7 linked regions of the Mus musculus genome follow. The protein of the gene in region 4 interacts with the protein of the main gene of each other region in a pairwise test. Links are inferred from orthologs where the notes say so. Each region holds a gene or a part of one and is shown on either strand. Other genes may lie near its edges.

The links.
Region 1: the proteins of Tpm3 (region 4) and Hsf2 interact in binary tests that used the Homo sapiens proteins (3 or more experiments, as listed by UniProt). The two-hybrid records come from large-scale screens. The link is inferred for Mus musculus from reciprocal best matches to the Homo sapiens genes TPM3 and HSF2.
Region 2: the proteins of Tpm3 (region 4) and Ikbip interact in a two-hybrid assay, tested with the Homo sapiens proteins (2 studies listed by BioGRID). The two-hybrid records come from large-scale screens. The link is inferred for Mus musculus from reciprocal best matches to the Homo sapiens genes TPM3 and IKBIP.
Region 3: the proteins of Tpm3 (region 4) and Mad1l1 interact in binary tests that used the Homo sapiens proteins (3 or more experiments, as listed by UniProt). The two-hybrid records come from large-scale screens. The link is inferred for Mus musculus from reciprocal best matches to the Homo sapiens genes TPM3 and MAD1L1.
Region 5: the proteins of Tpm3 (region 4) and Syce1 interact in binary tests that used the Homo sapiens proteins (3 or more experiments, as listed by UniProt). The two-hybrid records come from large-scale screens. The link is inferred for Mus musculus from reciprocal best matches to the Homo sapiens genes TPM3 and SYCE1.
Region 6: the proteins of Tpm3 (region 4) and Lurap1 interact in binary tests that used the Homo sapiens proteins (3 or more experiments, as listed by UniProt). The two-hybrid records come from large-scale screens. The link is inferred for Mus musculus from reciprocal best matches to the Homo sapiens genes TPM3 and LURAP1.
Region 7: the proteins of Tpm3 (region 4) and Kxd1 interact in binary tests that used the Homo sapiens proteins (3 or more experiments, as listed by UniProt). The two-hybrid records come from large-scale screens. The link is inferred for Mus musculus from reciprocal best matches to the Homo sapiens genes TPM3 and KXD1.

What each region holds. Positions count from the first base shown.
Region 1 is NC_000076.6:57,499,588-57,503,727, reverse strand, and holds part of Hsf2 (heat shock factor protein 2), read right to left. Parts: intron 2,359-4,140; coding exon 2,297-2,358; intron 1,106-2,296; coding exon 1,018-1,105; intron 1-1,017. UniProt on the Homo sapiens protein: DNA-binding protein that specifically binds heat shock promoter elements (HSE) and activates transcription. In higher eukaryotes, HSF is unable to bind to the HSE unless the cells are heat shocked.
Region 2 is NC_000076.6:91,081,045-91,085,950, forward strand, and holds the start of Ikbip (inhibitor of nuclear factor kappa-B kinase-interacting protein), read left to right. Parts: upstream 1-1,994; 5' UTR 1,995-2,082; coding exon 2,083-2,252; intron 2,253-4,906. UniProt on the Homo sapiens protein: Target of p53/TP53 with pro-apoptotic function.
Region 3 is NC_000071.6:140,318,328-140,323,031, reverse strand, and holds the start of Mad1l1 (mitotic spindle assembly checkpoint protein MAD1), read left to right. Parts: upstream 1-1,479; 5' UTR 1,480-1,525; intron 1,526-4,704. UniProt on the Homo sapiens protein: Component of the spindle-assembly checkpoint that prevents the onset of anaphase until all chromosomes are properly aligned at the metaphase plate.
Region 4 is NC_000069.6:90,085,689-90,089,828, forward strand, and holds part of Tpm3 (tropomyosin alpha-3 chain), read left to right. Parts: intron 1-757; coding exon 758-891; intron 892-1,766; coding exon 1,767-1,884; intron 1,885-1,985; coding exon 1,986-2,056; intron 2,057-2,712; coding exon of another isoform or gene 2,713-2,788; intron 2,789-3,359; coding exon 3,360-3,435; intron 3,436-4,108; coding exon 4,109-4,140. UniProt on the Homo sapiens protein: Binds to actin filaments in muscle and non-muscle cells. Plays a central role, in association with the troponin complex, in the calcium dependent regulation of vertebrate striated muscle contraction.
Region 5 is NC_000073.6:140,777,397-140,781,536, forward strand, and holds part of Syce1 (synaptonemal complex central element protein 1), read right to left. Parts: intron 3,539-4,140; coding exon 3,479-3,538; intron 3,136-3,478; coding exon 3,061-3,135; intron 2,535-3,060; coding exon 2,487-2,534; intron 2,253-2,486; coding exon 2,198-2,252; intron 2,031-2,197; coding exon 1,941-2,030; intron 1,733-1,940; coding exon 1,669-1,732; intron 1,181-1,668; coding exon 1,114-1,180; intron 1,037-1,113; coding exon 913-1,036; intron 850-912; coding exon 739-849; intron 603-738; coding exon 521-602; intron 337-520; coding exon 265-336; 3' UTR 1-264. UniProt on the Homo sapiens protein: Major component of the transverse central element of synaptonemal complexes (SCS), formed between homologous chromosomes during meiotic prophase. Requires SYCP1 in order to be incorporated into the central element.
Region 6 is NC_000070.6:116,135,755-116,139,089, forward strand, and holds the end of Lurap1 (leucine rich adaptor protein 1), read right to left. Parts: intron 3,088-3,335; exon of another isoform or gene 2,952-3,087; intron 2,081-2,951; coding exon 1,559-2,080; 3' UTR 974-1,558; downstream 1-973. UniProt on the Homo sapiens protein: Acts as an activator of the canonical NF-kappa-B pathway and drive the production of pro-inflammatory cytokines. Promotes the antigen (Ag)-presenting and priming function of dendritic cells via the canonical NF-kappa-B pathway.
Region 7 is NC_000074.6:70,516,440-70,520,579, reverse strand, and holds part of Kxd1 (kxDL motif-containing protein 1), read left to right. Parts: intron 1-518; 5' UTR 519-542; coding exon 543-643; intron 644-2,062; coding exon 2,063-2,215; intron 2,216-4,140.

The sequences.
Region 1 (4,140 bases), on a different chromosome or scaffold from region 4:
TCAACAATAGATGACGCAGGTAAGAGAAGTAAAATGTTTTAAATATATAAACACTAGTTAAACAAAAAAAATCTAAAACATATGAAACACTTTAAAGATACATAAATTTCAGTTAAACTAAAGCAAACCTTCATCTACTTTATATAAGCTTTCAACCCAACACCCATGCCACACAGGTTTACAATATATACTTGGTTTAGAAAGAGAAAGGGGCTGAACACTGAGATATGATGAAGTTAACACTGTCCTGGGGGGGTAAAATAAACAAAACTTCAACAGCCCAACAGTTAATGTGACATAATATTTGAAAATTCTAACAGTTCAAAATAAGAGTAATTTAGTAGGACAGCATTTGCCTTACTGTTCAAAAACTCAGCTCTGATCTCTAGTACATCAAAAAAGAAAAAGGAGATTATCAATGAGAGAGAGAGAGAGCAGTATCATAAAAAAAAAGGCACAACGTGTTTGATGGTAGACTAATCTGCAATTAGATGTTAACAAATTATATAGTCTATAGCAAAAACAAAATCATGCACAAATATTCTGAAATTGCTAGAGAAAAGCACTCTAGTTGGCACATGGTAGATGAAAAGAAAATTCCATAATCATGTTACACTATGATGACCGCATCACTCTTCACCTTATACAGCACTATAAAAACTACATAAGGCCACGCTGTTGAGGTAGAGCTCCCTGGTAAACTTCATGCAGTCCACATTGCACAGTACTGAAATATCATCACCACTGGCATGTGTAGATATCCACAGAATAACAGTCATAGTTCTGAATGTACCACACAAAACAGCATGGCAATGACAACTAGAAAGCTGGGAAATAAGCAACTGTATTGTAACGATGTTTCTTAAAATACCTGACAGCAAATAACGGAACTGTCACAACGCGGCAGAGCTGGGGAGTGAGCACTTACATTATTCACTAAACGGCTCTGACTGCATGAAACACTGCCACAATAAAATTTAGTTTGAGACAATAAATATAAAATGCATTAAAATTTACTTTATGATGGTGATTATCAGTTGGTTCTTTGACTATGTGCTGATATAGATTCTTCTTTGGGGCTCCATTTGTGTTTAGAAGTAGAGGCCTGTAAATAAGAATTGTAATATTTAATTTCACCCCAAAAATGAAAGAATAAAAGGTTTCTACTAATTTACTCATATACTTCCTTCAATAGTGAATGAAAGCTCTCAATAAGTATACAATAGAAATTCTTTAGAACTATTCAACTCCATACAAAGTATACCTAGCTTTTAAAACAGTAGTATCACAGAATAAAAGGCAATAGAATTAAAGCCACAGACTTAGATGTATAAACTGTCAAAATCTTAGCCTTATAGCTCACCTTTTCCTCCTTCCATCTATGCCTTTGTCAATTATTCTTCTAGTTCAGATATGACAATGTCACCAATAGCTAACATATTTATATGCATTACCACCTATCATTAGGATTTTAAATTATCAAGTCTACTAAATTTAAAGTAAACCAAATATCTGATTCTCTCCTTCCTCACAACATTATTTTTAAAGAGTTCTCCTCACTGGGGCCTTTTAATGCTACTTTAAACTGGTAACATGAATGAAAACTCAGTAACTTCTGCAAGGCTACTAAAAGTGACCACCTGGCCTAGCTTACAAACATAAGCAGGAAGCAGAGAGTGCAGTGCTATCTGCAACCCCAGCACCCAGGAGGCAGACTAGGAGCTGGTGAGTTTGAGGCGACTTCCAGGTATCTAGGTAAGGCCCTATAACAGGGGAGGGGGGTGGGGGAGATGACAATAGATCATCACAAGGATGACAATGAGAAGACAAACAGGGTGCATATATCCAAAATGTGTAACCTTATTATGATGATACTGCACAAATGGAAAATTCACTCATACTTATGTGATGGGCCATGGTGAACTAAGGGCCTATGAGATGAAAATCTTCTGAGCCCTTTTAGCTATATGACTAAACTACCTTATGTACAAAATTATTAAAGATATTATATGTAATTACTTTCAGACTGCATGCACACAAAACACAAACATTTGAACTCAGACATAAATTTCATCACTGGTGATTCATAGGCTTGTAAATATCCCCCCAAATTCTCAAATATTTCTACTATCCTAAGTATTGTGGAAAGGGATCCTCACCCTGTTAAGACTATTCTTGAAATGCTAACATAATTTAACAAGGGAAAGCTGTTCTTTGGTACCAGGCATACACTCAGCAAATAGGTATTCATGATTCAACACTTAAATGTTTGTAAGCCAAAACTCAAAAAACTTACCTTTTACGTTTTAAACTCACAAGTTGATTATTCTGAACCAATGTAACAATAAACTGGACAATCTGAGAGGAAAATGTAAATAAAATTCTTTCATCAAAGACTGTGTAAATTTTTAAAAAAGACTTTGCAAATTATATTAAATTACATTAGTTACAACCCAGCTGTCTGCCTTCAAGCAGTGTGCTCAATAAATGCCTCTAAAACACACACATATAATGCTAAGTCATTATATTTCCCACAATCTTAACATATGAGATTTGTTTTTCCAGGAAGACAGCACTGTGAAGCAAAAAAGACAAACTGTTGTACGACAACCATTTTCTAACAAAGGTAATATAATTAGAAGCAAAAGGAATTACTAACTCAGAACAGATCATACAATTCAGGCTTCAAAGAGTATACTGGCCAGTTTTATCATCCATGCAAGCTTACCCAAGCTACAGACATAGTAAATTTTAAATATCTGCTAAACTTAGAGGAAACTTTATTAAACAAATAGACCTAACCAACTACTCTTATTTTATAGGCTTGTTTCTTTATGTAAGACACATGGCTGGCTACGCCGATCCAGTGTCTTCTTAGACGTTTAATCCTCAACCTCACTACAAAACTGCTCCATCTGAATTCTGATGGCGTCCAGCAATGTATGTGTTAACTAGGTGGTTAGGAAGCTTCTAGGTAGCCTGTGAGAGCCACTGCAGCTTCCACTATGACTTGAAACTGTATTGTCAGCTTCCTACCATAGATGCCAAGTACAAGTGAAGCCTGTGAGTAATAATGACCAAAGTGTTCTGGTGTCTGAAGAAGGCCAAAGTAGTTGGAGGACCGTTCAGACTCTGTAGAGTTTCATATGCTTTATGAAATGCAATTACATGATTAAAATAGAATATATCAAGCCAGGCATGGTGGCACACACCTTTAATCCCAGCACTCAGGAGGCAGAGGCAGGCGGATTTCTGAGTTTGAGGCCAGCCTGGTCTACAGAGTGAGTTCCAGGACAGCCAGGGCTATACAGAGAAAGCCTGTCTCCAAAAACCAAAAAAAAAAAAAAAAAAAAAAAAATCAACTAAGTATTATATTATACATCAAATTCAAACTTCAAAGTTGAACAGGAAAAGTGCTGGCTAAAAACTGAAGTCCTGTTGTAAGTTCATCAATTAACTTTGTTTTTTGAAAAAAGAAAGTGCAGATGAAGTAGTTCATATTCAACCAAAATGCTGTCTTATGAAAAATAGTAACAGAGTCTTTTCATCAAGTACAAAATTAAGAACAGCTGTTACTTTAATGCATTAGAACTTCGTACAGAAGTTAAACAAACAAATACTTGAAACACTGGGAAATGAATTCAATAATATTTAACCTTAATGTTACTTTACATCATAACACAGGTTACCGTTTTGATCATAGGCCACATGCGACAACTGCTCTTCATGTCTGCCTAAGGCTGGCTCACTACACTCAAACCCTGTCAGTCATCAGCTTATTTTTAGCTCAAGTGACTTTTCAGCAAGAACAAGACTCATCACTCCCCCACCCCCACCCCTCCAAAGAACCTGTTGCTATGAGCCTCGTTTACTCATAAGCAAAAAATAGATCCCTCTATTGCTCTCCTGTTTCTTTACTTACTGACAAATGGAAGTTGGAACATAAAGATGAAATGACAAGGACACAATGCCAGGGGCAGGTTCTAGGGCCTCCTTTGATACAGCTCAGTATGCTGAATTTATTTACTACTTTACTGTAACTACGTATAGACTATGCCTGTTACATCATACACTGAGAAAAGCACCGCTGAACTCCTAGGTGGGCCACATGACTTAAAAATTAACTTTACCTATCAGAGT
Region 2 (4,906 bases), on a different chromosome or scaffold from region 4:
ATCATTCAACTTCAAAAAAAAATTTTTTTAAGACATCAAATGTTGCACTTGCAAAAATAAAGAAGTCATTCGTTTGTGCGCCCACAACTGGAATGAAACTAACTGAAGAAAAAAGGAAAATCAAAGAAAAAGAAATGACCAGAAACAAGACTAACATTTTTAGTTTCCTAAAAGTTTCTCAGCCGGGCATCGTGGCCCACGCCTTTAATCCCAGCACTCCGGAGGCAGAGACAGGTGGATCTCTGAGTTCGAGGCCAGCCTGGTCTACAAAGTGAGTTCCAGGACAGCCAGGGCTATGCAGAGAAACCCCGTTATGAAAAGATTTTTGGTTATGTCCAATAATTAAGCAAAAACCAAATACTCTACCGGGCAGTGGTGGAGCACACCTTTAATCCCAGCACTTGGGAGTCAGAGGCAGGTGGATTTCTGAGTTCAAGGCCAGCCTGGTCTACAGAGTGAGTTCCAGAACAGCCAGGGCTACACAGAGAAACCCTGTCTCCAAAAAAAAAAAAAAAAACAAAAACAAAAAACACTTTGACAACTAAGTTCCAATTTTCTCTAGCCTTACTGAACTCATATACATAAATTATATATATATATATAATATTTTTTTTGTTTTGGTTTTTTTTTTTTTTTTTTTTTTTTTTTTTTTTTGGTTTTTCGAGACAGGGTTTCTCTGTATAGCCCTGGCTGTCCTGGAACTCACTTTGTAGACCAGACTGGCCTCGAACTCAGAAATCCACCTGCCTCTGCCTCCCGAGTGCTAGGATTAAAGGCGTGCACCACCATGCCCAGCCATAAATTATATAAATTTTAAACAACTTTTTTCAAACTTTACACAAACTGGAATACTATGGGCAAATTCCCAGGGCCACAACCTCTTTGTGGCCACAACAAAACAGAAAGCCAAAACTGGTCCGAGATACAGACCACAATATAAAGGCTAAGTCTATCCAGGAAAACAGTAATAGTGGTCTACTTCCTCCTTAGATAATTTCTCTTCCTGGTACAAGAGCAGGAGGATGATTACCAAACATCCCGCGTCCCCTGATCTTTCAGTCCCTGGGAGCTACAACAGAACTTGCAAAGAGCCTGCCCAGAGGAGCTTGGGGAGGTGAGACCGAGGCAGTAAACTTACCCAAGCCTTTGCACCGGAGTTGTGCTGGGAAGAGCAGCCGGGGGAGGGTCACTGATGATAATCGAAAGAAAGCAGCCCAGGGAGGGTCACTTATGAGACTAGATTGCCAGAAAGCAGCCGGGGCTCCCGCCTGGCTTCCGGCGACCCCGCGCCCCGGGCAGGTCCTGACACCTCCCTGGGTATCAGCTGCTCGGGGCGCAGGGTGGATGCCCGGGATCTCCAAGCGGCGTCGAGGGGTGGTCACCTCGGTGGGCTTGCCTCGGGCCGCACCAGGGGAGGGTACCGGGACCCAGGGCACAAAAGCACGGCCACTCCAGTCGCCGCTTCACCCCTCTGGCGGGAGCTGCCCGGGCGGGAAGCGGACGCCGCTCGGAAAGCCGCTGCGACTGTCTCAGATCGTCGCCGGTGGCTGATGGCACACACCCCTCGCTGCCGACCCCCACACACCCCTCTCACACCCTTCCGCGAGCGGAGTGAGACGTCTGCTCCTCTAGCTGCCTCCTGGTCTCTGCCTCAGGACCGCGGAGCACTCAAACACCGCTGGGCCCGCCCAGTCCACACAGCGCGCGCCCGGGCACGCAAATTCACTCGCCCAGGGCCCGCCGCCGCGGCCGCGCGCGCGCGCCCCGCCCGGCGCGTGACCGCAAGCCCTGGTTGAGCGTTCTCGCATGCGCGGTGGGGTGGGGCTAAGCCGCGGGCTCGCGCCCAGCTAGACGTGGCACTCTCGGCCCCGCCCCCTCTACGCGCCTCTCCGCAACCTGCGCGCACCCGCGAGCTTGGGTCTCCCGCAGACTCAGTCGGGTAGCGGAATCCAGAGGCGGGGCCAGCCGCTTGAGGGCGGGGCACAGCCTTGGTGGGCGTGGCCTTCCGAAGCTGCTCTGCAGCCACGTCCCACGGCCCCCCTCCAAAGCCATCCTGGCTTCAAGATCTTCAGGGATCCAGACATGTCCGAAGTGAAGAGCCGAAAGAAGCCGGGGCCCAAAGTGGCTGCTCCTGAGCCCGAGAAGCGGAGTGATGGCAGGAAAAACCCCGAGGCGCGGGGGGACGCGGGCTGGGCGGACCCCCGCACTGGGCTCAGCCTGCTGTCTCTGGCGATGACCCTGGGCCTGGCCTGGTAAGTGTGCGATGCTGCAGGCCGTGGGTCGGGCCTCGCGTGGGCGCCTAGCACCTCGAGCCAACCCACTCTCGCTTGAATACGCTCTTTTAACAATGTTCTGGTAGCATGCTCCTGTCGCTGCCCTCTAAAGTCTGGGAACATGTCACCCAGGACTCGGCCCACACTTTATTAAGCATCTACTACTGCACGTCACAAGTTTGCACATACCTAAAAACCACTACTTCCCGTCCACTCTGTAGCTTTGCGGATGAGTTTGCTCCACCCTCCACCAAAAATCGCACTCTTAAAATGTCTGCAGCCTAATAAAAAAAAGTTCGTTGTTGCTGAGCGATAAATGCTAATGAGACTTTCTCCTATTTAGAGCTGTGTGCCTACATTAAAACTATAGTCCTTTTTTAAAGATTTATTCTTGTTTATGTGTATGAGTGTCAGTGTATTTGTGCACGTGTGTGCAGGTGCGCGAGGATCCCGCAAGAGAGTGTCAAATCCAAGAAGCTGGAGTTACCAATGGTTGTAAGACACCAGACATGCATGTTCTTAACAGCTATAAAAGACTATATAGTCTTACTCCTAAATTACAAGTTGAACTGTATGTAACATTGTAAAGAATATGTTTTCCCTTAAGACTAAACATTCGTGTTTTCTTATTGTTGTTGTTTTAGTTTTTTGATACAGGGTTTCTCTGTGTAGCCCTGGCTGTCCTTGAACTCACTTTGTAGGCCAGGCTGGCCTGGAACTCAGAGATCTGCCTGCCTCCACCTCCCTAGTACTGGTGTTAAAGGCATGTACTACCACAACCTGGCTGTATGACACATACAACCCAGCTATATACATGTATTTTTACACTTTATTTGCAGTAGTGGGGGCACCGCCATCCCGCTCAACATTTGTAGCTTTGAAACCAAGCATATATTAGTGATATATTAGTGTAAATGTGGAATAAGAGAGCTAATAGAATTCAGAAAAGACTCTGGATATCCTCCAGGGTAGAGTAGTTTTGATGCAGGTTTATTTCCAGCTTAGTTTATTGGTGACACCCTGAGTCCTTGAGTTTTTTGTTTTTTTTTTTTTTTGGGGGGGGGGGTCTATGGTTGAGTGGTTGGTTTGGTTTTTTGAGAAAGGCTCTTAGGTAGCCTAGGTTAGATTAGAACTCACTATATAGCCGAAGGTGACATTGAACCCCTGATCTTCCTGCCTTCACCTCCCAAGTGCTAGGATTATACTAGGCATTTGTACTGGGTAATGCTTGAGTACTGGGTTTTGTTATAAGTTAATAAAAACGTGTTCAACTGAAATACAGATCATTGTCCTCTTTAAAAAGAACTTTATTTAATGATAGTGTTAGTATTTGAAGAATATATTAATTCTGATCTAAATGTGTTGGATTTGCTGTTTTAAATAAACTATGCATACCTTAAAATGCATGCCTTTTTAGGTAAATGGGGACATGGTACATTTTGTATTGGGAAAGAATATTACTGAGTTATTGTTAGTTCTCTGTAGGGCAGTGTTTCTCACCCTGTGGGTTGAGACCCCCACAGGGGTAACATATCAGATATTTATATTGTGATGCATAATGGTAGCAAAATTACAGCTTTGAAATAGCAATGAAAATAATTTTATGGTTGAGGCTCACCACAACATGAGGAACTGTATTAAAGGGCCACAACTTTAGGAAGGCTGAGAACCACTGCACCAGGGCTTAATACAAGTGGTTTTAGTTGCTAAATTTATTCCTCTAGTTCCCGTTAATTAGACAAAGCCTCATAATCCACTAAGAAACTATGTCATAGAATGTTCAGCTTTTTTGATAATTCAAGTTCAAAAAATGATTCCGTTGAGTCAGCAAGATGGTACATTTGATAAAAGCATTTGCTCTGCAAAGCCAAAGGACAGCCTGAATTCTATCCCCAGCATTCACACAATGGAAAAAGAGAACTGAATCCCCAGAGTTGTCCTCTGACCTCCATACATGCACAGTGGAACACCTGTGACCACACACAGAGAGACAAATAAAAATAGTAATGAGGTGGAGGGCAATTGAGAAAGACAACCAGCTTCAGTCTCTGACTTACACACACACACACACACACACCACAACACACACACCACAACACATACACACACCTTAAAAAGTTGTGCTTCATCTTAGGGATTTAACATTAAGGGTTAAATTAAAGACAAAACATGTTAGTTACACTGATTAGAAAGGTTATTTATAAGCTGAGCTTTGTCTCTCCAAAGTGATTTTTTAAATGTCAAATCAAAATTATAAAGCAAGAGTGTAAATCTGTATCCAAAACTTTATCTATTTACGTTCATTAAGAAAAACTAATAGTGCCGGGTGGTGGCGGCAGCGGCGAACGCTTTTAATCCCAGCACTCGGGAGGCAGAGGCAGGCAGATTTCTGAGTTCGAGGCCAGCCTGTTCTACAGAGTGAGTTCCAGGACAGCCAAGGCTATACAGAGAAACCCTGTCTCGAAAAAAGCAAACAAACAAAAAAACAGAAACAAAACCTAATAGTGATATATTATTTTAAAATAACATACAGTTAATATATTTGGAGTTATTTAAAATTTATATTGAGAAATGTATGTATTTTCAGTATTGCTGTAGACAAACATCTACATAAGACTGTTCCATTGTTGTCT
Region 3 (4,704 bases), on a different chromosome or scaffold from region 4:
AATGAATGACTATGTCCCATAAATACAGACTTAGGTTACCCTATATTCCACATTCCAGTCTGGAAGCAATGAGGAAGTTTTTATAGTAACAGAACAAAGTCATGAGTCAGGGCACCTTAAAAATACATTGGTGGGGGCCAGGTGGTACACTCCTTTATTCTTAGCACTTGGGAGGCGGGCAGAGGCAGGTGGGTCTCTGTAAGTTTGAGGCTAGCCTTGAGTTCCAGGACAGCCAGGGCTACACAGGGAAACCCTGTCTTAAAAAAACCCCAAACAAGGGGCTAGAGAGATGGCTCAGCCGTTAAGAGTACTGACTGCTCTTCCAAAGGTCCTGAGTTCAAATCCCAGCAACCACATGGTGGCTCACAACCATCCGTAATGAGGTCTGACTCCCTCTTCTGGAGTGTCTGAAGACAGCTATAGTGTACTCAAATGTATTAAATAAATAAATTGTTTATTATTTATTAATATTATTTATTAATATCAATAAATAAAATTATTTAAAAAACCCAAAACAAAAACAACCAAACAACCAAAGCAAACCAAGCCATTGGTGGTGGGCCAGAGAAATGGCTCAGGTTAAGATCACCAGGTTCAGTGCTCAGCACACACATGTTGGCTCACAGACATCTAACTCCCGTTCCAGAGGCTCTGCTGACCTCATCTGGTCTCTATGGACATCATGCATGCACATGAAACACCCATACACAAAATAAAATAATAAAACATAAAAAACCGGCCTGTTGGAAGATTTAAGTAGGCAGTTACACCAAAGAGAAATACCAGCTATATGCTTCTGATGCTGTCCGGGGGATTTTGGTTGGTAGAAACCGGGTTTTAATTTATTCCAAGAGGTTTTTATTCATTAGTCACAACACGTTAGAGCTGACGCAGAGGCAGGAAAGCAACGGGTAGGAAGGAGGCTAAAGACATAGCCCCTAGACAAATTTCATCAGGCTCTGGACCCGCAACGTGAAGGACTTCTTCCCAGGACTTCTCATTCACAAAAGAAAGAAAGTGAAACAAGCTAACCAATCAAAACAGTGCCCAAACAAAACAACCTGTGTATACAAAGTGGCAAGATTCAGAGGCAACGCAACTTTCCAAAACTTTGTTCCCTTTCCGAGCGTGCCCAGCAGTTGTGCGGCAAGCCTTTAATTCCAGGGAGGCAGAGGCAGGCACGGGTGGATCTTTGTGAGTTCGAGGCTACACAGAGAAACATTGTCTCAAAAACAAAAACAAACAAACCTTTCCTCCTGCGCGGTGCTATTCCATACATTACGGCGCACCCCGGGGCAGTGGAAGAGCGCCCTGCGGGACAGGCAGCCGGGCCCAGTTTGGTTCCGGGTCCCCTGGCGGGACTGCGGTTTGTTCTCAGGCTACGCCCGTGGAGCACATATTTAATTCTTTACGGGCCGTTTTCTCAGATCTCGCGAGACCCCGGCGGAAGTCTCGCGATATATAGACACCGGCGGAGAGGAGGGAGATCTGAGCGGCTGCTGCAGCACCGGGCTCCTCAACTGAGGTAAGGGACCCGGTGGCGGGATCTGCGAGCGCCCCAGGCGCCTCGCGCCCTGCCCGACCGTAACGAGGCCACGGGAGGGAGCTGTCTGCTGCCATCGACACGCATGCATTCTGAGTCGGTCCTGTCGCGCGCCTTCCCTTTGCCGGGTCCCCCGTGTCTCCCTCCCGGGGCCGCTCTGGACGGTCTCCCACCCCGGTGTCCCGCTGCAGAGCCTGGGGTGGCGGGCCTGGACCGGGACCGGGACGGGGGCGGGGGCGGAGGGGACAGCGTGGCCCACTGTGGGCTGAAGGGCTCCCGGGGTTGGAGTCGGTTATTTTGTAGGTCCCAGGGATCGAACTCAGGTTGACCAGTCTTGGTGGCAAGCCCCGGTGAGCGCTGAGTCGCATGTCAGGCCCACTGTGTGTGTGTGTGTGTGTGTGTGTGTGTCTGTCTGTCTGTCTGTCTGTCTGTTTGTTTTTGGCAGTACTGTTGATTGACCAAGGAACTTATGCATTCTACCACTGAGCTATGTCCCCAGTCCTTTTAAAAATTAATTAATCGGCTAATTAATTGATTTGTGTGTGTTTGCATATATATACCAGGCTTCCTGTCGAGGTTGGAGGATAACTTAATTCTCTTCTTCTTCCATATGGGTCCTAAAGATGGAACCTTGCTTGTCTTGTCTTGCCCTAAAGTGCCTTTACAGATTGAGTTGTTTTCAGTCCCCATTCTCGCAGAGCAGTACGCTAAGCAGTCACCTACTCTGCTGCCTCCTCAGCCCAATCCTTACTTTTTCTTCTTAATTTTTATTCTGTGATGGGGCTTCCCAAGTTTTCCGGGCTGATCTTGAACTTGCCACCAGCCCTTGAATTTGTCTCAGCCTTCTGAGTACCTGGGATGACAGACCTGTGTCACCAAGTGCTAGGTTCTCAGGCTGTCCCTTGGCTGAAACCAGAAAGAAGGTGTGTGTGTCCCTGTTAACTCAGGAGCCATCCAGAGCAGCTGGTGTCCTGGAAAGTCTGCTGTCTGGAAGTTCAGGGTTCTTGTGGAGAGGGTACAACTTGAGGTGGCGCTTTAGTTACCTGTGTGGTGTCGTGGCTTCTGAAACCGCAGCCCTTCATTCTTGTGTGTTAATGGCAGAGTTCTTGTGTTGGTCCGAAGAGGGAGGACAGAAAGTGTGTCTTGGTGAGCAAAGGCCCACTTCTCCCACTGTGCCTGTTGTCCACCTGGCCACTAGCTTCGCTTTGTCATATGTGTAATTGGGGTGCACACCACGGTTCTTGTAAGTGGGAAATTCAGAAGAAATTTCTGCAAAGTTACCCCCCCCCCCCACACACACCCGTTTTGAGATTGGGTCTAGCTGTATTTTTAGGTTTTTGTATAACCCAGGCTGGCCCATGACTTGTGATCTTGCCTCAGCCCCTCACATACATTCCTCTTCTCAAGGACCTTTCTCCAACTGAGAAATGCTTAGACTCCTGTACTGGCTGGTTTTGTGTGTCAGCTTAACACAGCTGGAGTTATCACAGAGAAAGGAGCTTCAGGTGAGGAAATGCCTCTGTGAGATCCACTGTGGGGCATTTTCTCAATTAGTGACCAAGGGGGGAGGGCCCGTTGTGGGTAGTGCCATACTGGACTGGTGGTCTTGGGTTCTATAAGAAAGCAAGCTGAGCAAGCCAGGGGAAGCAAGCCAGTAAGTCACATTCCCTCCATGGCCTCTGCATCAGCTCCTGCTTCCTGACCTGCTTGAGTTCCAGTCCTGACTTCCTTTAGTGATGAACACATGTTTGGAGGTGTAAGCTGAATAAACCCTTTCCTCCCCAACTTGCTTCTTGGTCATGATGTTTTGTGCAGGAATAGAAACCCTGACTAAGACAACTTCTTTGCTGCAGACTCTCTCCAACACCTTACCTGGTCTTTCAGTCTAACCTGGCGTGACATATATTCAGCCTCTCCATTCTGTCCCCAGTGGGTTGTGAAGGAGTTTAGACAGCTACTGAGGCAGTGCAGACTCCTTCCATACAGCCCCACTGGTTCACTCACTGTCCCCTGGGCTGACTCTAACTGGAAGTTGTAGGACAGCTCAGGTGACCTCCAAGAGAAAGGTTATGGGGTTACTCAACTCTCAATAGAAGACTGAAGAGGCTTGGGGTCCCCTGCCTACCACCATCGTGGCTTCTGAACCCAGGGCGGTATTGTTAGTTGCTGGCAAGTCTGGGTCTACTTATCTAGACTTACCAGAATATTTTGGACCTGTCCCAGAGTCCTCTGTTCTAGGGGGACCAGGCAATCGTTTGTGGGTTAAAGGCTAGAATGTTGCCTAGTCTGGATGTGTCTGCTTTTGTTGTCCTCATGTGTCTGAATCCCAGGGTGTCAGGTGTCACAGTGTGGGAATCATTTCTTTCCTCCCTCCTTGGGAGTCATGGGACTCAAACTCAGGTCAGCAGGGTTTGTGGGAAGCATCTTTATCCACTAAGCCACTTCCCCAGCCCCACACCAGGTAACCCACAGACATTAAAGTTACAGACATCCCACATAGATTCCATGATCCCAAACCGAGAAGAGACCCAACCAGGGTCACAGAATCCCAGCCATGTCCTCTGCCTTTCTGCCTGACTAGATGCCATCTGTCACTGCATGCCTCTCAAGGACCTCAGTACACCTATTTCCTGAGTGTCTGCACTCTGCAGTTTTTCAGTTCTCTAGCTCCTGGCTTCAGTCTGACAGCTGGATGCTGCTCATTGTCCTTATCCAGGCGTCTTGTGAGAGCCCTGCTCTCCCTTTGCTTGGCCTCCATGCCCATGGGAGGGCAGCAGTCCTGCCAGTGCAGCGCATGTGAGCCCCGTGAGTCAGCGTGTAAGTCCCCACCTCACTTACTTGACTCCTTCCCTGGCCCATCCCAGTCCCCGATCTGAACAGAGCCTTCGGTTTGCCCTTCTCTGTCCACTGACTGTTCTTTCAGAAAGCCCATGGTGAGCTGTTGCTGCCTGTCTCCAGCTCAGCTACATAGCCTCTTCTGGCTACTATGCACCTGTCATGCAGGTCCCAGCCTTGTCCTCCCCCCTGCTGGGGTGGGAGTGGGCATTTCTATCCTGATCATTCTCAGGCTCCTTTCCCTGGGAATATCTGCTCTCTGTAACTTCACTGATGCAGGATATTTGATCACAGTGTGAACCCCAAGATGTGTTCTTTTTTTTTTT
Region 4 (4,140 bases):
TTAAACTGGTATACATAGAGAAATATAAAATGATAGAAATACTAAACACCGGGTATCCTGGCATTTGCCTGTAGTCCCAACACTCAGGAGGATCTGGAGTTGAAAACTGGAAGTAGCTGTCATTGAAGGAGAAGTCTGTCTCCTCTAGCTGCTTTTTTGAGACAGGATCTCACTGTGTAGACTAGGACTAGACTGGCTTCAGACTCAGGGAGACCTACTTGCCTCTGCCTCCTGCGTGCCACAATTGAAGGTGTGTGTCAATACACCCGGCTTTGTTGGCCCTTATAGGTTCTGGGATTTGAATTGAGTCCAGAAGAGAAAAAATGATACTGTGTGGATAAGGAACTGAATTTTAGAATGCTCTGCAGGGCTGAGGGTACCACCCCTTTGTTAGAGTGCTTGTCGGACATGCACAAAACCCTGGGTTCTATCCCTCACACAGCATAAATTGGACATTGTGGAACATACCTGTAATCTCAACACTTGGGAGGTACTCCATGGCACGTTCAAGCCAGCGTGGGCTACGTGAGGTTAGTTCACATGAGCAAAACATTTCCTGTTTAACCAATGGGAGTTCTTAGCTAGGGAAGGAGGAAACTGATTAGTAATCATGTAGTTAGATCTTTAGCATTTAAAGCAAGACAGGCTCTATCTTACCTACACGACTGGCTTCTTCATAGTAGTCAGGTCTAGCCTTCTGTTACAGTTGGTTTTCTCACCAGAAGTTGATTTGTTTTCCATTTCCCATTGATTGAAGGCTGAAGCTGAGGTGGCCTCCTTGAACCGCAGGATCCAGCTGGTTGAAGAGGAGCTGGACCGTGCGCAGGAGCGCCTTGCCACTGCTTTGCAGAAGCTGGAGGAAGCAGAGAAGGCTGCTGATGAGAGTGAGAGGTGTGTGAATCCCAAAAGAATAGGCCGGCGGGGCTTCTGGGTGGAGCAGCCCTCTCCTGCCTGGCCTGAGGTGTCCTGGGTTCCATCCCTGGCACTGCAGACAGTAAAGCTGATAGTGGCTCTGACCTGGATTTTCCACTAGACCTGTTTTTTGTTTTGTTTGTGTTTTTTGTTTGAGGCATGGTCTCATGTAACCCAGACTGGCTTTGAACTCTTGAGCCTCCCGCCTCCACTCTTTGGGTTTGTTTTTGTTTGTTTGTTTGGTTTTGGTTTTGGTTTTTTGAGACAGGGTTTCTCTGTGTAGCCCTGGCTGTCCTGGAACTCACTTTGTAGACCAGGCTGGCCTCGAACTCAGAAATCCGCCTGCCTCTGCCGCCTGAGTGCTGGGATTAAAGGTGTGCGCCACCATGCTGGGCTTCGCCTCCACTTTTTAATTGCTGGGATTGCAGGCCTGTTCCACCGTATCCTGGTCTAGACCTGCTTTTGTTTTTGCAGATTGAACACAGTATCTACCTTCTGTGCTAAGCACATCCTCTACCACTGACTTACCCTCCCAGCCCCTGAGACCTACTTTTTAAATGGTAGTGATTTTATATTACTAGTATTATTTTATACTATGCAAATTGAACTCGGGCCTTGCAAATACCAGGCACCTGTTCTATTGTTAAATCCCATTCCCTGGCCCAAATTTGTTTGTTTTATAAGGAAAAGTTTTCAGTTAAATGGTACAGGTGCTGGAATGCTATGGAATTTCTGTTTGGGCAGCGGAACAGGAATGGGACTGGGAAGGGCGTGGTTTTGAGTGTTTGAAATGGAGTTGATGCCCAGCTCAGAATGTCATTGCTGTGTTCATTCTTTCATTCTGTTTCCGGCAGAGGTATGAAGGTGATTGAAAATCGGGCTCTAAAAGATGAAGAAAAGATGGAACTCCAGGAAATCCAGCTAAAGGAAGCAAAGCACATTGCAGAAGAGGCCGATAGGAAGTATGAAGAGGTGAGTTGCCTCTGCAGTGCGTGCGGGCCCTGCAAAGACAGTCAAGAGGGGATAGCTATCGCCCTGGCTTGATTGAGCCGTACTGGGGTCTTTTCTTCTAGGTGGCTCGTAAGTTGGTGATTATTGAAGGAGACTTGGAACGCACGGAGGAACGTGCTGAGCTGGCAGAGTCGTGAGTATTTTGTCTCCAGATCTTGTCAGCTCATCCTGCCTGCTTGGGCACTAATTCCGAGTAAACTAGCCTTCCTTTGACCTTGTTAAACAGGCCCTGGAGGGTGGTGGTCCTCTGTAGTGCTTTTAGCCTCCAAGAATGGCTTTGGGCTTTCTCTTACCTTGACTAGAAACAGGGAACAAAGCTTGCTTATTCTTGGGAAGATTCTCAAATAGAGGGACCATAGAGACTAATATGGCCACTGGCTAGTTGGAAGATCCTATTGGGTCCTTCCTCCTGGAATCTATTCCTCCTTGGCCTGTACCGATTTCGGGCCTGGTCTCTTTTTTTTTTTTTTTTTTTTTTTTTTTACAAACTTTGCCAATCTGCCTGGAAACTTGAGAGCAAAGGCTTTAGAGAAATCACCTGCTGCCTTGGTACCAGCTTGGCCTTGTGTAACAAAGTCAGCGTGGATGTGTATGTGTTGTGCTTGCCTCGCACACTCCCCGTCCTCTTCAGACATGACATATATCATGACCATGGCGGTGTTTCCTTTCCATCTGTTTGTTGTTTTGACCCACCCCACACCCCGTCTTGCGGCTTGTTTTCTTGCTCTTCCTTTTTTAACCTTTTCCCCACAACCTGGCTTGTGCCATTCCCGTGACTGTCACTAACAGCCGTTGCCGAGAGATGGATGAACAGATCAGACTGATGGACCAGAACCTGAAGTGTCTGAGTGCTGCTGAAGAAAAGGTACTAACCCTGAAGCCCGCGCACGGAGAGCTTCCTTCCGTGTGTGTGGTATGGTCTCCTTCGGTTTGGTTTTGTTTTGCAGCTGCCTCCCTCCACCAGTTGATTTGTTGAGTGCGTTCTCATCTCCATGGAATGCTCCATTCTTCCTTTCCACTTACTTGGCATCTCTCATCTCTTCTTTCCTAGTTGCTTCACTGCCTCCCCCTGAGGGTCTCTGCCTCCCCTGGGTGTTTGGGGGTTGTTAGGTTGGGCCTCTGTCCCTGTATCCACCCCCCAAGTAGCAGTCATAACTGTTCCCTGGTAGTGAGTGATTTCTCTCAAGTGTTCTTTCTTTATCAGAGCCAAACACTCCGAGCACAGGAGGGCCAGCTCCTAGCATACCTACCTGCTCCGTGCTAGGGGGAGGAGGGTTGATACCTGCTCAGGTTACCCAGCAGCTTTTCCTCCCTGATATACAGCCCAGCTCTCTCTACACATAGGCTCAATTCACATCTGTGTGTCTCTCTCCCCTTTTTTTTTCTTCCTCTTCCTCTTCCCCTTTTCCTCTCCTTTGGTATTAAAATGTTCACAGTAAGTGTTCTGAGCTGGAGGAGGAGCTGAAGAATGTCACCAACAACCTCAAGTCTCTTGAGGCTCAGGCGGAGAAGGTAGGGCTGGTTTGTGAAGATGCACAGGCTTTGGGGCTTGGGCCCAGCCCTGCCCTTAATGAAACAAGACATACCCATTCTGTATAATAATAATGAAAGACATACCCATTCTGTATAATAAATCGAGGGAAAAGCGAGCGTTCTCTTCCTTCCCACCTTTGTCTATCAGAGAGTAGGTTAATGCTAACTCCTCTGTACCCCCCCCCCCCCATCTCGGGTTTAAATAACTCTGGTCTGCGGTGCTCCTGGAGTGTGCTCCTTGAGTTGATACTGCCGTGCTCAAAATCAGTTATAAGGAGCATAAGATGGGGCAACAGAGCGCCAGCTCTCGAGACCTGTCTAGGAGCAGTCAGGGCAGATGATTGCCACTTACCATCATGAGGGATGCTTTAACTGTCGATTCCTGCTCGTTAACTTGGAGAAAGGAAAAGCACTTTGGGTTGACAGAAGTAGGATGAAAATTTAGGTCTGTTAACAAAAGAAAAAAAAAGGTCCTGGTGAAGTTTACACTGCAAGTTTTGTTTGCAGATAGTTGGGTCTTAGGACTCTTGCTTTTTTTAGTCCTGGACCAAATCAAATCCAGAAGAATGTCTATGACTTATGTGAGAATAATATGGCTGTTGTCTGTGAGATGGTCTCTACTCTGAAATTTGTATTCTACTTTTCTTTACAGTACTCTCAAAAAGAAGACAAGTATGAAGAAGA
Region 5 (4,140 bases), on a different chromosome or scaffold from region 4:
GCATCCTCTGCTCAAGAGAAGAAGCGTGTGTCAGATACTAGTGGTGAGCAAGAGACAGGGAAAGCATTTACTAAGGGTCTGCAGTGTGGACCCTAAGCTAGGTGAAACTCAAAATTGAGCCAAGACATCTCCAGGTTCAAAGACTTGAGGGGCTTGGCCCCAACACCCATTCTTCCACTCGGCACATACTCAGATGAAGCAGGCTACACAAAACATCCGCAAGTGATGTCTGAAGTCAGTAAGTCCTCCAGGCTGAGGAGGGTATTAGGTCCTGCTTGATGGGCGCTCTTGGTCTTGGGCTGTCTCCTCGTGGACTTCTACAGGTTTAGGACTGGCCTGTGGGAGGTAAAGGCCCAGGCATTTTTCCCTGCTCCTACCACCCCTTTCTACCTTTCTGTGCCCATGCTACCATGAGTTTACACCTCTGCCTCAGCTGTGCCTCCTCAGAGGAATGCCCTTTCCACAGACTATACTCTGGAGAATACCACTTTTTTCCTTTCCCTTCTGTTCCCGGATTTACCATCCTCCATGAGCTGTCTTCTTCGTTTTGCGTACTATGAGCAAGGATCTGTACCCCATGCTTTTCCAGTTCTTCCTTCAGCCTGTCCGGGAAGCGTGAAGGACGAGAATGAAAGCAGAAAAATCAAGAAAATATGAAGAGACATACCGGCAGAACAGGGGAAACAGCTGCCATTCACCTTCCTGGGAGAAATGAGGACACAGGAGCTCCGTGCCTACCTCTGCCGTTTCTGCTGTAGCTGGTGGCACCTCTGCTGCAGCTGCTCGTGCTGCTGAGCTGCAGCCTCTAGGAACTCCTCAGCTTTCTTGTTCTCATCCTTGAACATCTGCCTGATAGTGTGGAAAGAAGTCAGTGCTAGACATTTCCTCCTCCTGCCCCACCCTGCATCTTACATTGCTGCAGCTGCCTCATGGCTTCGGAGGAAGAGTCCCTCAATGAGGCTGGAAGAACCCTCAGGCCCGCCCAGGGCACACAGCCGCTGTCTCACATCCTCCAGCTTTACTTTCATCAGTTTCTCTACAGAGAGAAAGAGTAATAAGAAGGTAAGGGCAGGTTGGTGCAGCTGAGAGCCACCCTTCTGGCCCTGACCTCACCTTCCTTGAGCAGCTGCTCCTTGCTGCTGTCCAAAACACACATCTCCTTTGTCAGATGTTCAGGCTTCTGGGGTGGGGGGGCACAAACAAGAAGATATGTCCAGATCTCCTGGCTCCCCTGAGCTTCAGAGAAGCCTGTCTACATCTCATCATTTCTCCTCTCAGTAAGTTTCACTTCCGAGGACCCTGCCCCTTGGTGTGTGCCAGCTATGGTTTATGGATCTCGTCATTCCCTCTCCTCGGACCTTTAACCCTGTAATGAGGTTCTAGGGCAAGTATTCGAAACCCTAAAATCTGCAATCCTACAATCCTGAGACACTCTGAAGACTTAGGTATTAGCGTTTCTTCCTCTCTTCTCTCCTCCTGGCCTCCTCACTGACATAGAGAACACTGAATGGACACAGCAACATGAGTGAATGGTAAGGACCAATACTGAAGACACCAAGTATCTCAAGAGTGGTCACCAGGGACTGGATTTACGATGACAGCAGGACCACCAACCAATGCTTGCACAGGGACAAAGTATAATAGGTAGCATAGTGTTGTATGACTCACATGAAATTCCAAGGTGTCCTTATGTTGACTCATCAAAGTCTCCAGATGTTCTTCAAAATCCAACCTAGGAGGCAACCACAGAGCCATGATGGCCATGAACTACCACAGAGCTAGGCCAAGGTCTGAGTCTATATAGCACCCAAGGACTTCGTGTCCACTCTTACACAAGGAATAGCTTCACCCCTTGACCATCCAGGACTATGGCTGGCCATCCCGGGCATTACTATACCTATATCACGTCCCCAGCCCAAGCCTCACACCTTGAGGTTTACCTCAGTTTTCTTAGTTTGGCCTTCTCTTTGTCGATCTGGGAGTTCAGGAAAGAAATTCTCTCTTTACACTCCTGCAACATGCTGTGCTTCCTGGGAAAGAAACCAACACTCAGCCATGTTCTTTGAATGACTCTCCTGGAGGGAGGGCTGGGGGCTTCTATTCTGTTCCTCTGTATTCAAGCCTGTGTCTAGCAGAGCAGATGGTGTGGGAGGTAACAGGAACACTTAGGGAAACCACTGCAGGCATGGCATCTTACCTCTGTGCCTCACTTTCCTTCTCCTGGCAGTGCAGCTGCATAATCCTCAGGGTCTCTGTAAGGATAACAACAGTGCCCTCTGAGTGCTTGCTAAGGCATCTAATTTGGCAAATAGAAAAAAACATATCACATCAAGTCTGTGGACACTTGATTGGATTTTGACATTTTCTGGGTCTGGTAAAAGCCATAGGAATGTCACAAGGTTGGGAGTTCTTAAGTTTCTAGCTACTAGAGAGAGTGGGCTTAGATAGGGTATCACAAAGCCTAGAAATGGGTAATATGGGAATACCTTCCTTTCTGTTCAAAATATCCTTCAGACGTACTTTCTCTTCACGTACTAGAAAAGATGATGAAGGTTCAGGCATTAGAGACCAAACACAGAAACGTCAAGGGCAGTCATACGAGAGGCAAGTATAACTGTGACCCTAACCCAGATGCAGTTTCCTTGAGGTAAGTTCCTACCCCTACGGGTATCCACATTCCTGTAAACACAATGTGCCCTAATTTTCACAAAAGATATCCATGTCCATGTACAACAACCACTGGGACCAGGAAAAACAACACCAATCAAAAGGGCTATGTGATCAGGTAATGCAAGATGACTAAGAAAGACATTTCTAATAATATACAGCTGCTGGTGTGAGGCAATAACTTGTATTATCTAGGGCAATACATGGAGGATCATCTCTGCAAAGGACTCAGGGCAGAACAGGCCTCAAAGGCATTTCCACAGCCCTCCTGTTAGAAGATGGGACTGCTAGAAGAAATGAGGTTGGAGGAGAAGTCATGGCCCGGGTGTTTGCAGGACTGCATTAGAAGTCTAAGACATCATAGAAACCTCTAGTGACTCTCAGTTAACTTACGTAAGTCCAGTTCCTTCTGCAGGTTGTCCCAGACAGTCTGGGCCTCTCCAAGCTCCTCACTGGCTTTCTTTTTTGCTTTACCAAAGAGGAGGACAGACATTTGGTAAGTACAGCCTCAAGGACAAATGAGGAGATTTCACACTCTCCCCCCAAAGAAAACTTAGAGGGGGCCCAGATTTTACAAAGCAGGAAACAAGGCTTTCTAAATCCTGGCCCTTCTTGCTAGGCTCGGGTGGCAGCAGGGCTGTGTTCACAGGCAAATGACTATGGCGGTTACAGGCAGAAGGGCCCTGCACTTATGCTCTCATGAAATAACTACAGAGACTTTAACAAGGACCCCTGTATTTCCACTTTTTATTGGGCCTGGCCAGTTAAAACTTGTAGCTGGTCCTGGATGGCAGCCAATCACTGAGCTCACCTTGCTGAACCTCATTAATACGGTTAATCAGGACCTCAATCCGGGGCTCTAGGCTTCCCACTGCAAAGCAAAAAGGAAGCTCATTATTGATAGAGTGTGTCTAACCTGGGATTCTACAGCTTTTACTTTACAGAAATCTCCTAAGCATCTCACGTGTACAGGTGCTACATTACGGTCTCAATCTAGGATTGTGGGGACAAGGAACAGACCGATAGAGATACTGAGCCAAGCTGTAGGAACTTCAGTCAAGAGAAATGAAGCAAGGGGAGAGGTCCATAGGCAAAGGTCAAAAAGTGCTTCTCAGATATGGGAAAGTGTCTTGGGGGGCTTCCATCAAGGAAGGCAGGCCCTCAGGCTCTCTGGGTAAAGCAGTGGGTGCCCTGAGGAGGAAATGAGAAGGAAACAGGATACATATGATCAAGTAGAAGGTGGCAGGATGTAAAGTGGAAGAGGTTATGGGTAAAACCTCTGGATCTAACAGACTGCTGTGAAGTCAAAGGAGACCTGGGACGGTGCTTTGGGAAGACATATTGCCTTCTTCTGTTCACTCTCATGCTACTATAACTTTGAATCATCATGACTCCCTTTTAGTTCAAAAACTAAAATTTAAGGAACAGTGAGATGGTTCCATGGGTAAAGGTACTTTCTACCAAGCCTGACAA
Region 6 (3,335 bases), on a different chromosome or scaffold from region 4:
GAAATGCATACGCCTGCATACCTTGCTTATTTGTCCAGGTATTAACCACATCCTTTGTCTCCTACTCTGCCCATACCCTTACCCCCTTTCTCTGGGCCTGAACCCCAAAATAGCAATTTCTCTGAATTTCTTCTCTGGTATAATTAGCCAGGGCCTTGGGACCCAACCGTAGAGCCAGTCCTGATTATCCATCAAGTCCAGGAGTGATGGGCTCGCCCTAAAGAAGGACTTTGCATTGTCTCTTCTCCTTAATGAGGCCCATGGACCAAAGGGCCTCTGTGTTTTCCTGCTACACTCCCACATTGTAGCTCAGACAAAGGGATTCCTTGTGTCTCAACTTCAGGCAAGCATCCTTGTGACCAAATTGTGGAAGGCTGGCCAGAATGAGGGAATAGTAAGCAAGCACAGGGGTAGAGATGACAAGATCATCCCACTATCCAAGAGTGTCTCCAGAATAAGGAGACCTTCACTCTCCTTATTCCCAAGCAACAGAGGCATAAGAGACATAAAAATGCAGAGGTCTAGCTGGGCGGTAGTGGCACACACTTAACCCCAGCACTCAGGAGGCTGAGGTAGCCAGATCTGTGAGTTCGAGGCTATCCTGATGTACAGACTGAGTTTCAGGACAGCCTGAGATACACAGAAAAACCCTGTCACCAAAAACAAACAAACAAAAAACCCAAGAGGCCTAAAAAGGAAAATGTGAATGTGTGAAGAAACTCAGACTAAACTCCTAGACGACAGATCTGGAGGCAGGAATCAGGGATGAGGGCAGCCCAGGGCCAGACAAGAGTCTGCAGTAAAGTAAGCCAAACAGATTGGGGAGCCTAAGTGGAGGCCTCTGAGTTTGTTACTAAGAGTACATCCTTACAGCCCTGGACAGGGATGTAGCCATAGTAGTGAAATCCTTGGGTACAACATGAAAACACCATGTTTGAAAAGTAAGAACTTGAGAAAAGCAGCACACACATTTCCCAGGAAAAGCGGTATGTTCCCTATCACAGGAGGCAGCGGCAGGGACATTAAGTGCCACACCCACCAGGACTGGTACAGAGGAAGCACTTCATGTATCATGACAGGCAATGAAGTCACTCAGCAGGCATGAAAGGATTGGTCTCCCAACTCCAAAGGCATCTAGGAGGGCCAGTCCATGGAGGCTTGCGCATCTGACAGGGTCAATCTCCACCGTTCTGTAAGAGGCATCCTGGCTCCTAGGCTTTGGATGGGGTGATTATCCCCCATCTCTTCTTCAGTGATCTCCTAGAGGCCCTACGTTCCATAAAATTCACCTCACTGGGGAGGGGCATGGAGATACCCTTACAACAGGAGCCACAGGCTAGGCCTCTAGAGTCAATATCTCTATGGAAATAGCTCTAGGGACCCAATAATTGAGGGATAAATGCAGAGGCTCCCCAGGAACCAGAGAGATAAGCCAGGCTTCCATGGTAACGGATTGTAATACAGCCTCTGTCTAGTTAGTTGGAGGTGGAGGAAAAATTGAGGGAGACTTGGGCCAAAAGTTGAAAGAGCCACAAAGTACAAATGGGTAGGAAAGTTTTTACAAGAAGGTCACATCATCCTGGCACTGTCCCCAGTACCAATGAGCTTCAAAGCCCTGGTTAGCATTGCCATCCTCTGATGGCTCAGGTGGTCCACACTGGAGCCCATCCCCCGGGAGCTTCCATGTGGCTGTTAAGCTCCCTAGCTTAGTGGATGTCATGTCCACCTCAGTCCTGGCCCTGTCCTCAGTGGGGATAACCTTTGCCCAGTCAATCTCAGGACAGGAAGGCCCAGGGAGTCCTTGTTCATCCAGCTCTCTGGGGGTCACAGTGTCCAAGAAGCTGCCAATAGAGACACTGTCCAGCCGGTCAGTTGAACTGGTGTCTGGCAGGCTGTCCCAACTGCCCCGCCTTGAGCGTCCTGGGCTTCCCCCTGTCAGACTGTACTGACTGCTGGTGAGACTGCTGCAATGGCTCGTCAGTGTACCCCGCTCCTCCAGCAGCCAGCGCACTGCCTCAATACCCTCGTTCAAGGTCACCAGCTGCTGCAGGATCTTCACATCGATAGCTCGCAGGTAAGCCTGAGGAAGTGAGAAAAGAGATTAGTTCCGTTTCAAGCTGAGTTCCCCAGGTGTTTCCCGAATCTTGCAGTTCAGCCAGCTACACTTCACTTTTAAAAGCACGGAAAGAGATTGGGGGTGGGAGGGTTAGAGCAAAGAGACTCCTGTTTAAATTTTCAGATCAAGCTAGGCTGGAGATCAACTTGCCACCTTAGCATGTCTGAAATCCTGGGTTCCATCATGCCTTGCACCAGACAAAAAAGCAACTTCCCAACCAGGCAGTGGTGCATGCCTTAATCCCAGCACTCGAGAGCAAAGGCAGTCGGATCTCTGAGTTTGGGGCAAGCCTGGTCTACAGAGCTTACACAGAGAAACCCTAGCTCAAAAAACAAAGCAAAACAAAAAAACCCACCAACAACAAAACAACTTTCCTATTGATTAGCTACACGATTCTAAGTAGCTATTCTATTTTCTTTGAGCCTCAGTTTCCTTGATTGAAAAACAAGGCTAGCCCGGTAGTGACGGATTTAATCCCAGAGGCAGGAGGATTTCTGAGTTTGAGGCCAGCCTGGTCTACAAAGTGAGCTCCAGGACAACCAGAGCTACACAGAGAAACCCTGTCTCAAAAAATAAATAAATAAAAACTAAAAAAGAAAGAAAAGGAAAAACAGGCTAAATCATTCACTTTACAGCATGAAAGCAAGGATTTTGAAATGCTATCAGGTGTGCACTTTCTACAGGGGAGGCTTTGTAGGTGTTAAATATTAAAATATGAGGCTAGGGGGGTTGGATGTAGCTCAGTGGGAGGAACACTTGCCTAGCATGCACTAGGCCCTGGATTCTGTCCCTAGCACTGGATAAACTAAGGTGGTGATGCACACTTGTAATCCAGGCACTCTGGAGGTGGAAGGAAGAGGATCAGAAGTTCAAGGCCATTCTCAGCTATGTTGGCAGTTCAAGACCAGCCGGAGCTTCATGAAACCCTGTTTTAAAATTAATGAAATAAAATAATAAAATAAAACAAGATTTAAAAAAAATATGGTTCATGCATATAACTTTAGCACTTAAGAAACTGAGGAAACACTTGAGAGGCAGAGGCAGGAAGATCAAGGCCAGCCTAGTCTACAAAGTGAGTTACAGGTTAGCTATGACTACATAGTAACACACTGTCTCAAAAATCAAACAAGCAAACAGGCTGAGGTGGGAATCAAGAGTTTGAGGCCAGGGGCTTAAGAGATGGCTCAACAGTTAAGTGCTGGTGCTTCTCATGAGAACT
Region 7 (4,140 bases), on a different chromosome or scaffold from region 4:
CCTATCTGTGGCCACCTGTAGCTAGCCCGGGTGTCTTGACACCCTAGGCTCTGCATCAGGAAACTCAGTCTCTGTAGTCTGTCCTCTATCATGTGAGTACTATAGCCGTGTTCCATAAAAAAGACTGACCTGAAGCTAGGCAGGCACAGAGCTTAAGAGAAGGTGGAGTGACCGCCTTGCAGAACCTAGTGTGGACAATGAAAGGAGAAATGACATGCCCAGCTGTGCCTGTGGAGAGTTCTGGGGTTTGGTCCAGTGTGAGCTATGGAGGGTGGCAGAGTGAAAATTTCAGCCCCCAGGTAGCTTAAGTCTCCGTCCTCCTGCCTTAGCTTCTTCAATGTTGGAATCAACAAGTGTGCTACCATGTTCTGCCCTCCAGGCTTATGTTTTATTGGGATGTGTTCCTGCTAGGCTCCCAAACACCCCATATTTCCAGCTGGGGTGATGTGTTAGGGGACATGATGAGTTCTTGACATCACCTGTCTCGTGCTGACCTCACATTGTTCTGCTCATTTCAGGCATTGGAGGCGGAGGAGAAAGAGATGGACACCCCAGACTCAGCCTCAAGGGTCTTCTGTGGCCGCTTCCTCAGCATGGTGAACACTGATGATGTCAATGCCATAATCCTGGCCCAGAAGAATATGTGAGCAGGCCATGGGAGGCATGGGAAGGGTCCTACTATCTCCCCCAAGCCCTGCCCAGGATGTGGTAAAGAAAACGAGCTCCAGGCTCTAATCTTGGCATGGGATCAGATCTTGGAGCTGTGCATGACAGGGCCAAGTGGTTCTGTCCCCAGGCCAGGGCTGGGAGGGCTGGAGAGACAGGAATACTCAGAGGCTCTTCTGGGCTAGCTTTTGGCATTGGCACCCAGAGCCCAGTTTGGGTATGCAGGGAGCCTTGTTCAGGATGCTTCATTCCCTTGCTGGGACAGCTTCACCCTGAATTTAGCTTTTGAAGGTGACTTGGTGGTGTTTGCTAAGCATGCAGATGCTCCAAGTCCGTTCTAGTAGCTAGCTCCATGTTCATAACACAGCCTTCAGCCAGATGCGGCAGTCTTCTAGGGCTCTCTGCCTCAGATTATTTACTTCATTATTTCCTGTTTGGGGGTTTTGTTTTGTTTTTTTAGGTTTTGTCACCATGGCCAGGATTCTCTCCTGGTTCTTTAGGTTAGGTTCGGATATGGTCACGTAAACTCCCAGACTAACAGTGACAAAATCAAACGGGAACTGTCCTGGCCCTTGGGATTGACTTGGGGTTTACACAGTGTAACAAGGAGCAGTCAGCTTGAGGAGTGAGTGATTCTGAGAAAGGCGGCTCACAACTGTGACTCATGTTCCCTGGGTCCCACACCTTCTGGCGTCTGTAAGCACTATATATACATGTTCCACAGAGGAACACAGGCCAAGTACAGAATAGAAAATAAGTCTGGGTCTGGTGCAGTGGCGCACAGCTTTAACTCCTTCATTCATGAGCTCCAAGCCAGTCAAGGCTACATAGTGAGATACTGACTCAAAAAAAAAAAAAAAAAATCTTATAAAAGGTCAGCTAGCCAGGCGTGGTGGCGCACACCTTTAATCCCAGCACTCGGGAGGCAGAGGCAGGCAGATTTCTCAGTTTGAGGCCAACCTGGTCTACAAAGTGAGTTCCAGGACAGCCAGGACTACACAGAGAAATCCTGTCTCAAAACAAACAAACAAAAAGGTCAGCTAATAAATAAACACATGTCAGCTTTGTGACTGGATGTAGTGGCACAAGCCTATAATCATAGTGCTTCTCTAGAGGCCATTTAAGGTCTGTTTAGAACATGAAGTAGCTCCCAGACCAGGCAGCATCCTGTCAGAACTAATGCATGCTAAAGAACTCCGTGAAGGAGTCAGGCTGCAACAAAGAGTACCTCTGAATAGGGCTTTCAGCTGAGCAGGAGTTGGGTGATCTGAACAGTAGATAGAATTCTTGAGGCCTTGGCTCTGTAATTAAATGCAGAGGCTGTGACTCTCAGGGATTAGCTCGGGCTGAGGGGGCTCCTAGGCCTGATGCAAAGGCCCTTGCCCTCTCCCCCTAGGCTGGACCGCTTCGAGAAAACCAACGAGATGCTTCTGAACTTCAACAATCTGTCCAGTGTGCGGCTGCAACAGATGAGTGAGCGCTTCATGCACCATACCCGCACCTTGGTGGACATGAAACGGGATCTGGACAGCATTTTCCGAAGGATCAGGTGGCCCCTCCCCCCAGCCAGATGCCTCCTCAGCCTGTCTTACAAGCAAGCACATCTTCCCCAAACCACTATTCCCCAATACCCCACTATTAGCCCTTTCTGTCTGTCACCCAACTTGCTTTAGATGTCCAGCTCCTCCACTCTGAAGCTCTGCCTATCACCTCCCAGATTTTACCCAGGAGCCTTTGCTAGCCTCTGCCTCCTTAGTGTCTTCTGAAGCCACACCTTTCCCCTTAAGTCCTTGCCCTACACTCTCTCCTCCCTCCCCTCTGAGGCTCCCTCCTCTTCTCTCCACTGGCTCTGCCCTCTGTCTTCTCCAGCCCAGAGAATTCTGGTTGTTTTACAAGGTAGATCTGACCTCTGAGGGAGTAATCTGGAAGTAGTGAGTCTACCCCCCACCCCCACCCCGCCTCCAATCCCACCCACTCCCACTTGTTTTTGAGACAGGGTTTCTCTCTGTGTAGCCTTTGCTGTTCTGGGACTCCCTCTGTAGAATAGGCTGGTCTCAAACCCAGAGATCCATCTGCCTCTGCTTCATGGGTGCTGGGATTGAAGGCGTAGGCATTTAAACACCCAGTTGTGACTTTCCCTTTTATTTGATAACTGTGCTACGTAGCTGGGACCCAAATATAAGTCAGGAGAGGTTATAGTTGGGTAGACAGGCCAGGCCCTCCACTTCTAGCTGGCTGGCCAGCAGAACACCAGGGACCCGGGTCCATCCTGGATAGAGGCAGGTTTGGTTGGGTCTTCCCACAGTGGTGCTGGCTCCTGGACCATGATACCCATGTCTGTGGCACTTAGGTGCTCCTTCAGATGTACTTCCCAGCCTTACCTATCACTGCAGTGGACACACCTGCAGCCAGCTGCCCAGACCCAGAACAGCCAAGACCATGGGATCCAGATCACACATATGCCCTTTTTTTCCCTCAGCCCAAGGCTCTGGCCTTGGGACCTAAGGGGACAAAGTAAACTCTACTCAAAAGTTTTGAGATGTTCTAAACCAGTCTATTTCATTCTTTTTTTTTTTTAAAGCATCACACCTTTTTTTTTTTTAAATATTTTTAAAGATTCATTTATTTATTATATGTAAGTACACTGTAGCTGTCTTCAGACAATCCAGAAGAGGGAGTCAGATCTTGTTACGGATGGTTGTGAGCCACCATGTGGTTGCTGGGATTTGAACTCCAAACCTTCAGAAGAGCAGTCGGGTGCTCTTACCCACTGAGCCATCTCTCCAGCCCCTTTTTTTTTTTTGGCTTTTCGAGACAGGGTTTCTCTGTGTAGCTCTGGCTGTCCTGGAACTCACTTTTGTAGACCAGGCTGGCCTCAAACTCAGAAATCCGCTTGCCTCTGCCTCCCAAGTGCTGGGATTAAAGGTGTGCACCACTACCGCCCAGCTATTTCATTCTTTCTATTAGTGTTATTTTGCTTTATTTTTGAGGTAAGGTCTCAATGACTATCCTGAAACTCAGAGAGAGCCTCCTGCCTCTGCCTCCCTAGTGCCTAGGTGCTCTGCTATCCTGTCTCCTACCTCCCTCTCATACACACTTGTAGCCCAGAACACCAAGCTGATCCTACATGGAGTTTGGGGAATAGAAGGAGCTCTTTGAGTTAATACAGCAGCATGTGTCCAGTGTGTCAGGTGCTGATCCTCAGCTGTTAATTGTGCCAGGCTGACTGCAGCCAGGACAGGAGCTGTGCTGTCTGAAGACCTTCCCTAGCTCCTGGCAGGCCTGGAGTGCAGGACTTAAGGCAGAGTAATCAGCAGCCAGTTCATAAGGTAATAAAGCCAACTGGGCATGATGACACATGCCTGTGATCCTGTGCACCGGAGCTTGAGACAGGAGGAATTTGATTTCCAGGTCAGTGGGGGCTCTGTAGTGAGTTCAAGGACAGCCTGAGCTACCAACAAATCTTTGTCTCAA